3 linked regions of the Kluyveromyces lactis genome follow. The protein of the gene in region 1 interacts with the protein of each later gene in a pairwise test. Links are inferred from orthologs where the notes say so. Each region holds a gene or a part of one and is shown in the gene's direction. Other genes may lie near its edges. The genes, in order: KLLA0_F21406g, ATP11 and YCH1.

Region 1 (3,643 bases):
GTTTTATCTCAGTCAAAACGATCATGTCATCCGAAAGAAACAGAAACCTGCAAGAGATTTTATCTTCGAAGGAAGTAACAGCGATGAGCTGGGAATCTACGACGTGCTATTGAAAAAATTCAGCAAGGACGAACAAATCAAGCAATTTCTTCATGCATTGCGGAATGGAAGTGTGATAACTGGCGAGGATGTATCAAGAAGGAAAACTCTTTTCGTAGAAGATTTCCCAATCTCGATTATATTATCTGTGTTCCGGGAAATTATAGATCAATGGCCTCTCACTGAATACAAGGAGAAATTTGAAAAACTAATGCAAATATACAATGGATTACAAGCTGATATTAATGAACTTCAGAAGAAAGTAGAGATCCAGGAGTTAGACTTCCAACACGAAGCGTTACCGGAAAAAACGTCAATATCATCTCTCATCGATAAAGAGGAGAAAGAAATACAGAAGCTCGAGAAACAGTTGGACCTTTTGGAAGGGAGAAATAAGTGAAATCTAGCAGCGGTACTAAAAATCCATTTGATACATTAATAAGTTATATCCAAGAAAAACCGATATGCTTGCCGAAATGAAGTGGAAAGATATATTTCACACTTCGGGAATTAATCTCGCACTGGAATGGAAATATTCATGTAAGTTTCAGTTCAGTATATATCATTTTTGTATTATTAAGGTTCTAATTTTATGATAACGAAATATATCGTAGTTCCATTTCTACGGCATCTTGCTCTTCTACAGAGAATACGGTTTTCGTTCTTTCATATGATTTTATTGCTGCAATGAAAGTTCTAATTTCAGAGTACAAAAAAGTAGATACATGGAAACAAAGAGTTGTTAGTTCCTATTACAACTTCAAATCTTAAAGAAACATATGTTGCGAGCAAAAGCCTCGATAAGAGTGTTAGTGGTGCCAGAACTATGAGTTCTAATACGGGAGACCAGTTTGCCAATCTGGGAAAGGCACTGTCTACCACGGCGTCTGTTCTATTCTCGTCGCAGCCGATGGAAGACACAATTCTTTCATACAGTAGTCCATATAAGAAATTGCTTCATGAGACAATTACTAATGCAGGTGGGGGATCATCACTAGTTAAAGTACGCCACGACGTGAAATTATCTAAAGGCAAGAATACAGGTTTCCAAGATATATATTCCAATAGCAAAGAGTTCTTTAAAAACTCTTATAGTGATCCAAAAACAACATTCAAAGTTTTAAGTTACTTGAGTGATGATCTACTTGAAGACGCCCCACGAGACACTATACCTCAGAACAAGAACATGATAACAGAAAATGGCGAGAAAAGATCTGCAAAGTCAAAAAAGCAAGAACCGACGTTATTTCAAGGATTTGAAGCATCTTTACCTGTTATTAATGAAACGATAGAACTACAGCAAAAACTTATAATGAATAGCGATATGAAACCCTTAACAGACTCTGAGTCCATCCCAGTTTACGCTGAAGAAGAAGAACAAGAGGAAGAGTTTAGTTTGCCAGACCATTTAAAAGCTGATAAACTTCTGCATTCTTACTCCGCATCCTTCTTGAAGGATGCCTCGAGGTCAATCACCGATAACCTGGATTTACTTGAAATCCAGAAAAATCTAGCAGCTAGCGAAATAAGAGAGCTAGATATCAAGCTGGAAAAGTTAAAAATGATGCGTGAACTAGTATTCAAGCGAGTGGCTAAAATTGAGCAGCATGAATTGTTTTTGGAGAAGCATTTGAACAACGTTAAGGATAGAATCGATATGATTATAGAGTACAACATGGATAAAGAATACTCATCGGAGGATGAAGAAAATATAAATGGATTATCTGAACTTTCGCCTAAAACTGGAGAAACTAACGAAACATATGAAACTGCGGCTACCACTCCTTTAGAAAACAAAGAAGAAGAGCACTCTCCATTGCTTTCCAAATCCATCTATCAGCAGCTACAAGACCACGAGAAGAAATCGGATATTTCCGAAAGGAAGAAACATAGTACTTCCAAAAAAATTAAAGATGTTGGTGTTTCTCACCGTAATCGCCGCCGTAAAACTTATCCAACTTTACAACAGTTCTATGATTCCGGATCTAAGATTACAAGCCTTCCTAAGGCCCATGATGAAGATATCACTTGCCTAGATTTTGATATGCCATTTGGTACTATGTGCTCTGCTGGCAGTCTAGATCACTCGGTAAAAGTATGGGATTTAAGTAAAAAAAAACAAATTGCTACATTGCATGGACACTTAGCATCTATCAGTTGCATGCAAATTGATCAATATAGCACCCTGATTACTGGTGGTCGGGACGCAGTTCTGAAATTGTGGGATATCGATAAGGCCATGGCTGATGAAGCGTCAAATTCATCTGAAGATAATGATGCATGTTTATATACCTTTGATTCTCATGTTGATGAAATCACCGCAATAAGTTTTGACGGTGACAATTTGGTTTCTGGTTCTCAGGATAGGACAGTACGTCAATGGGATCTGAATAGTGGTAAGTGCACCCAAACCATAGATATATCTTTCGCAACTGGCCCTATGCGGTCTCAAAGAAACATCCCTCTTCGTAATAGTGTACTTCTAACCAAGGAACCGCCGGCTATTGGAGCTTTACAATGCTTCGATGCTGCCTTGGCGACAGGTACTAAAGATGGTATCGTAAGGCTTTGGGATTTAAGATCCGGGAAAGTAGTACGTATGTTAGAAGGTCATACTGACGCCATCACCTCCCTTCAGTTCGACTCGGTCAATCTAGTTACAGGTGCAATGGACAGAAGTATAAGAATATGGGACTTAAGAACTGGTATACTTTCTGACGTATTTGCATATGAGCAACCGATCACTTCTCTACATTTCGATCTGGATAAGATTGTAATTTCAAACAATGAGCCTACTGTGAAAATTTACAACAGGAAAGACGGTAACCACTGGTTCTGCGGCGAAGATGATCCTGAACAAGGTAACGTGGATTTTGTTAGATACAAACACGGATATTTGGTAGAAGGGCGCTCGAATGGTGACATCAACACCTGGGCAATTTAGACCTACAAAATTGTTTCAGCTGAAATGAGAGTTATGACATTTGCCGTCATCTGGCACATTACTTCAAAAATAATAAATATTCTTCACTATTCCCCATAAATTAAATAGAAAAATAATTAGCATACAATGTAGGTGATCACTTGTATATAACTCACTAGTATAAAAAGACCATCCTCATAATACCTTGCTAGTTATTTTCGCGTGCAGTAGAATGTTTCTAGCTACAAGCCACTAACAAGACATGCTTCCAAGCCAAAAAAATCTAAGATTTAACAAAAAAGAAATGGTTGCGAAGAGATTCGAACTCTTGCATCTTACGATACCTGAGTGTTCCCAACTGTAAGGTTGGTTAAGATAGGTATCTTGAATCAGGCGCCTTAGACCGCTCGGCCACACAACCAATTTCGTGATTATTAGTTGAGAATGTCCACACTATAATGTAGATACCGTCTCATAAAGAGATTATATTAGAATAATCACTTGCAATATATGGCTTTACAACGGTATACAAATTATTCAAGATGTTAAAGACGTCCATGTTCATGCAAAACAGCATCTCGAAGTTGCTACGCGCATGTTTCAGCGTTCAACGACGTTTCA
Region 2 (2,433 bases), on another chromosome or scaffold:
TTCATTTGAGTATGTGGTAATATCGTTATGGAATCAAGAGGTGTTCGATCATCATCATTATCATCCAAAATTATTTCTGCTGGTTCTAAGTTAGCTGTACTAGGTACTGAAATAGGCTGCGGTCCATTATCAACGTCAGCTTCATCGCCATACCGCCTTTCCTCTTCCAAATCATCCTCCAACACATCATCGTCACCAATGTCTGAGTTCGAATTGACCAGTTCTCCGGTCTCCGCCAATCTTCGCGCCAGCATGCTTAGAGCGTTACTTGATTCAGTGGCAGTACTATCAGATTTTTGACGTTCATGCTCGAATTCAAATACCAACTGTTTGAAGGTTTCGAAATTCGTTACCTTCACGCTACCATATTTAAGATAAACAGAACAAAGCTTATCAAACCTCCTTTTCAATGTCCTAGTTTGCCTGTAATTTAATCCAGATCGCCTATTAAACTCCTTGAGCAAAGTGTTCCATGATTTCATCCTATGGCTATGTGTTTGAAGATGTGGCTTGTATTCTCCCAAAAGAGACACCAAGAGTTCATCCAAATTAGAATGCGAATATATGTGTGACATGTAGGTTAGATTTCGATATTAAAAAGTAGCAGAAAAGGGAAGTATCAAGGTGTGATAACTTCACACCGCAATTCAGTGTGACAATATACTGTTTCAAGTCACACCTAACTCATATTTCTCATCCTCTCAATTTCTTCTTGCATGTATCTTATCTGAACCGGTATACGCTGATTAGAATTTACCTTTTTCTTTAAAAGTTATGAAAAGTGATATTGGAACAAAGTTACTATTACCAACTTTAATGAGATACGGAAGAATTCACTGGAAATAGGTTACTGTAGAGAGTAAGTTCACTAGTTGAAAGAGGATACCTATCAACACAACTTGTGAATCTATCCAGGTAATTTTTCGGACACATGATAAAAAGCTGGACCCGTGTTGTTAAAAGATCGGCCTCGCAACTATCTGCTACGCAATTCAAACGTATTATTGGTGCGTCATCAATCCAATCAAACTCTAGTTACTCTACTGATTCATTAGAACAACAGTACAAGGACAAGCTTTTGGACAAGGCTCGCGAACAAGGTTTTAATAGCATTGAGGAACTTAAGAATTCTTTGAAAGAAGAAATTGAAAAGAAGAAACTCGAGTTAAACAGAATTGATCCACTGAAAGAATTGGAAGACTACGAACAAAGAACCAAAATGTCATCTAACATTGCTAAGTCCCGTGGTCCGATTGATCCATCTATGCCAAAACAGCCGTTTAAGACTTTGGACAGCTTTTTGGATGTGGAAAAAGTGAAAAACCTCTCTAAACAAGAATGCGAATTTCTTTGGAGAGCCAGATGGGCCAATAAGGACAATGTATTGAACGCTGTTGTTCCAATCGATATCTGGGAAAAGATCAGTGCCTTAGCCAAAGAAAACCCATTCTTCGTTATCCCTTTGCCAAGAGAGCGTGCAGTTGAAGAAACTGCTGCTGAATCTGCAGAGAAACAAGAACCGGCCATGGAAATGCATTACATTCAGTGGCAATTTGTAGGACCTAAAACCGTCCACTGTATTATGACTACTCTAGCAGAGTATAAATTGCACAAAGAATTTGCAAGACCTCATACTACTCTACAGTTCCACTTGGATTTGGCCAAGGAAAAGAACATTGTATTGATGAACGGCCAAGTTGAATCTGATTCTAATGTTTCCCTACCAGAATCTCAACTATTGCTTTTGAACGTTCAAAGATTCTATGGTGCTATGGGACAAGACTCCGGGTTTGCCCAAAAGAGGGTCCAACTTTTGAAGGATTTTACCAACGGATCTCCAAACTTCAATGTTGATCTATTAGTTGCTCTTTCTCAAGTTATGGAGTAGTGGAAGATTCCTAATACATTTATATATATTTATATACATATATATATACATGTCGCTTGTATAAAGAAAACATTCCATCATACTCGATCTATGCTAACAGCATGCGGTTTTGAGTAGCAGCAGGCTGTGGTTCGAGGTTGGGCAGCATGCGTTGGAATGGCTTTCTTCTTAGTCACGTGTACTTCATCAAAATGAATTTCACCACTATGACTAAGTGTGGTCCAGAAGTGCTACGAGCATATGGATGCATCGATGACCCAACCTATGAGTAGAATCGATTGAATTCGTTCTGCTCAAACAGTACAAAGCCCCGACAGTAGTTGCACATTGTACACTGTTTGCTGGAAGTTGGAATATCTCCTTGTTTTACTTCTACTACATTTATAATGGCGAAAGTATTGTTCTTGGGCCCTGTGGGAACATATTCACATCAAGCAGCACTCCAACAATTTCCAAACGAGGAGCTAATACCGGTGACATCTATCCCTGCATGTTTCGAAAAGCTCATTTCAGACATAGATATGGACTACGGGGTAGTTCCTCTC
Region 3 (2,333 bases), on another chromosome or scaffold:
ATGATTTCAAGGCCAGGGAAAAGGAGTTGGATGAAGAGCTACCTGTTGAGTATAGAAAGTTTAGACCTAAGGGCTTCAAGTTCAATTTACCACCAACAGATCGTCCGATTCGTATATATGCGGATGGTGTGTTTGATCTTTTCCATTTGGGTCATATGAAACAATTGGAACAGTGTAAGAAGTCGTTCCCCAACGTGACGTTGATTTGTGGTGTTCCAAGCGATAAAGTGACGCACAAGTTGAAAGGGTTGACTGTCCTTACCGATAAGCAGAGATGCGAGACGTTGACACATTGTAGATGGGTTGATGAAGTGATACCGGATGCCCCATGGACTGTGACGCCGAAATTTTTAGAAGAACACAAGATCGATTATGTGGCACATGACGATCTACCATACGCTAGTGCTGATAATGACGATATCTACAGACCAATTAAAGCAATGGGTAAGTTTTTAACTACCCAACGTACCGAAGGTGTTTCTACCAGTGATATTATCACCAAGATCATCAGAGACTATGACAAGTACTTGATGAGAAATTTCGCAAGAGGTGCCACGAGACAGGAGTTGAACGTATCTTGGTTGAAGAAGAACGAATTGGAATTCAAGAAACATATTCAAGATTTCAGATCGTATTTCAAGAAGAACCAAGAATCTGTCAACGTCGCATCAAAGGACTTGTATTTCGAAGTTAGAGAAATGCTTCTTAAAAAGACACTTGGAAAGAAGTTGTATTCAAAACTTATTGGACCCATGGGTCATGAAAGCGTTAGAAGAAGTAAAAGGATTTCGGGTAGATCCCCAGTAACTCAATTCGCGAAAGACTACACTGGTGAAGAGGTTGAATCTCCAACTAGTGATAGTGATCCTGAACTGCATAGAGGTAGTTCTGAATCGCCGAATCATTTGTTTTCAGATGAAGATGACGACGAAGAGGAAGGGGACAGGGAAAGGTCACCAACTACCGATTGAAACGCCTCATATACTTGTTGTTTTACTTTTTATTATTTGATATCATTTCTACTTCGTTCGCATATATGTATCCTGTACCCGTTGTATACTTACATACATTTCTCTCTCTCTCTCTTTTATATGCCCTATTTCGTTGACATTTTAACTTTAACCACTCATTTAACTAAGTGAACGATCAAAGAAAAGAAGGAGAATAGAAAGGTTAATTCAAATAGCAGCGAATCACGGTCCTCGAAATAGACACTTTTTTACTGGATCCTCAGTTGATTGAAGCTTTTTTTGCAACGTAAGTTCATCATGCAATCGCATTCCATATCTTCATTGAAATATCTAGACGCAATAGACCTATACCAGTGGATTAAACAAGGACACACATCTCTAGGACAACCATTCCAAGTCATTGATGTTCGAGGTTCAGACCATATAGGTGGACATATCAAGGGATCCTGGAACTACCCTTACAGAAGGCTTAAATCGGATCTGAATTACGTAGATACATTGAGACAAGAATTACTTGATAAAGCTGAAATCGGAGCTGATGGTGCATCAGAAATTATTAACTGCGTTTTCCATTGCGCACAATCACAACAGAGAGGTCCTAGCTCTGCTATGCTATTTTTACGGTCGATACCAGAATCTCAGTTGAACAGGTTCCAAATATGGGTATTGAAAGGCGGGTTTAACTACTGGCAATCGAATTATGGGTTAGATGAAGCTGTTACAGAAAACTATAAACCCGATTTATGGTGAAGAGTCCTGTTCAGGCAACTCTTTTGATGATATGAAGACCACTGTCAGATTCTACAATATCACTGACTTGATCGATTTTCAAAGCAAACGCAGCCTTCTCGAAAGAAGGTTGCATTTCTCCATGACCGAAGAACCCCAAATCACCACCTCTTTTCGCTGATGAACAATCACTTCTCTCTTTAGCCAATGATTCGAATGGTTCACCACCATTCAATCTCTTGATATAAGTTTCTAATTCTTCTTTAGCCTCATCCTTAGTAATGGTAATATTTTCATTTCTATGAGACGCTGGTCTTCTAGAATCCTTGTGCTTAATCAAGAGATGCAAAGCTCTGACCCTCAATGGGTTCTCCTCTAAGTATTTCTTTGATTGGTCCTCATCTGTACCTGACGGTGCCTCCCAAACCGATTCCTTAGTCTCCGGGTTGAAGAAGTATTCACGTTTCTTCGATCTACTAAACTTGATAACCCAGGGTTCTGGAAGTCCTGTACCTGCCATGACGAAATTGTGGGGTAGATAAATTATAAGATTGGGTTATATATCACAATAATGGAGACATAATATGTACAGTGTAGTTAAATTGTCACCTGCTGTTACTGTTCAGTTCAATT

Evidence for each region.
Region 2: the proteins of KLLA0_F21406g (region 1) and ATP11 interact in a two-hybrid assay, tested with the Schizosaccharomyces pombe proteins (2 studies listed by BioGRID). The link is inferred for Kluyveromyces lactis from reciprocal best matches to the Schizosaccharomyces pombe genes mdv1 and atp11.
Region 3: the proteins of KLLA0_F21406g (region 1) and YCH1 interact in a two-hybrid assay, tested with the Schizosaccharomyces pombe proteins (2 studies listed by BioGRID). The link is inferred for Kluyveromyces lactis from reciprocal best matches to the Schizosaccharomyces pombe genes mdv1 and ibp1.

What each region holds. Positions count from the first base shown.
Region 1 is NC_006042.1:1,995,660-1,999,302, reverse strand, and holds KLLA0_F21406g (WD repeat MDV1/CAF4 family protein), read left to right. Parts: upstream 1-925; coding exon 926-3,043; downstream 3,044-3,643. Other genes in the region: SPC34 (Spc34p), read left to right, coding at 1-499.
Region 2 is NC_006041.1:652,932-655,364, reverse strand, and holds ATP11 (Atp11p), read left to right. Parts: upstream 1-931; coding exon 932-1,888; downstream 1,889-2,433. Other genes in the region: DAL82 (Dal82p), read right to left, coding at 1-575; prephenate dehydratase PHA2, read left to right, coding at 2,275-2,433. UniProt on the Schizosaccharomyces pombe protein: Essential for the assembly of the mitochondrial F1-F0 complex. May interact with the alpha and/or beta subunits of F1-ATPase.
Region 3 is NC_006041.1:1,475,230-1,477,562, reverse strand, and holds YCH1 (phosphatase YCH1), read left to right. Parts: upstream 1-1,268; coding exon 1,269-1,721; downstream 1,722-2,333. Other genes in the region: PCT1 (choline-phosphate cytidylyltransferase), read left to right, coding at 1-971; peptidylprolyl isomerase ESS1, read right to left, coding at 1,732-2,220. UniProt on the Schizosaccharomyces pombe protein: May play a role in DNA replication checkpoint via regulation of hsk1 or may act downstream of hsk1 in an S phase regulatory pathway.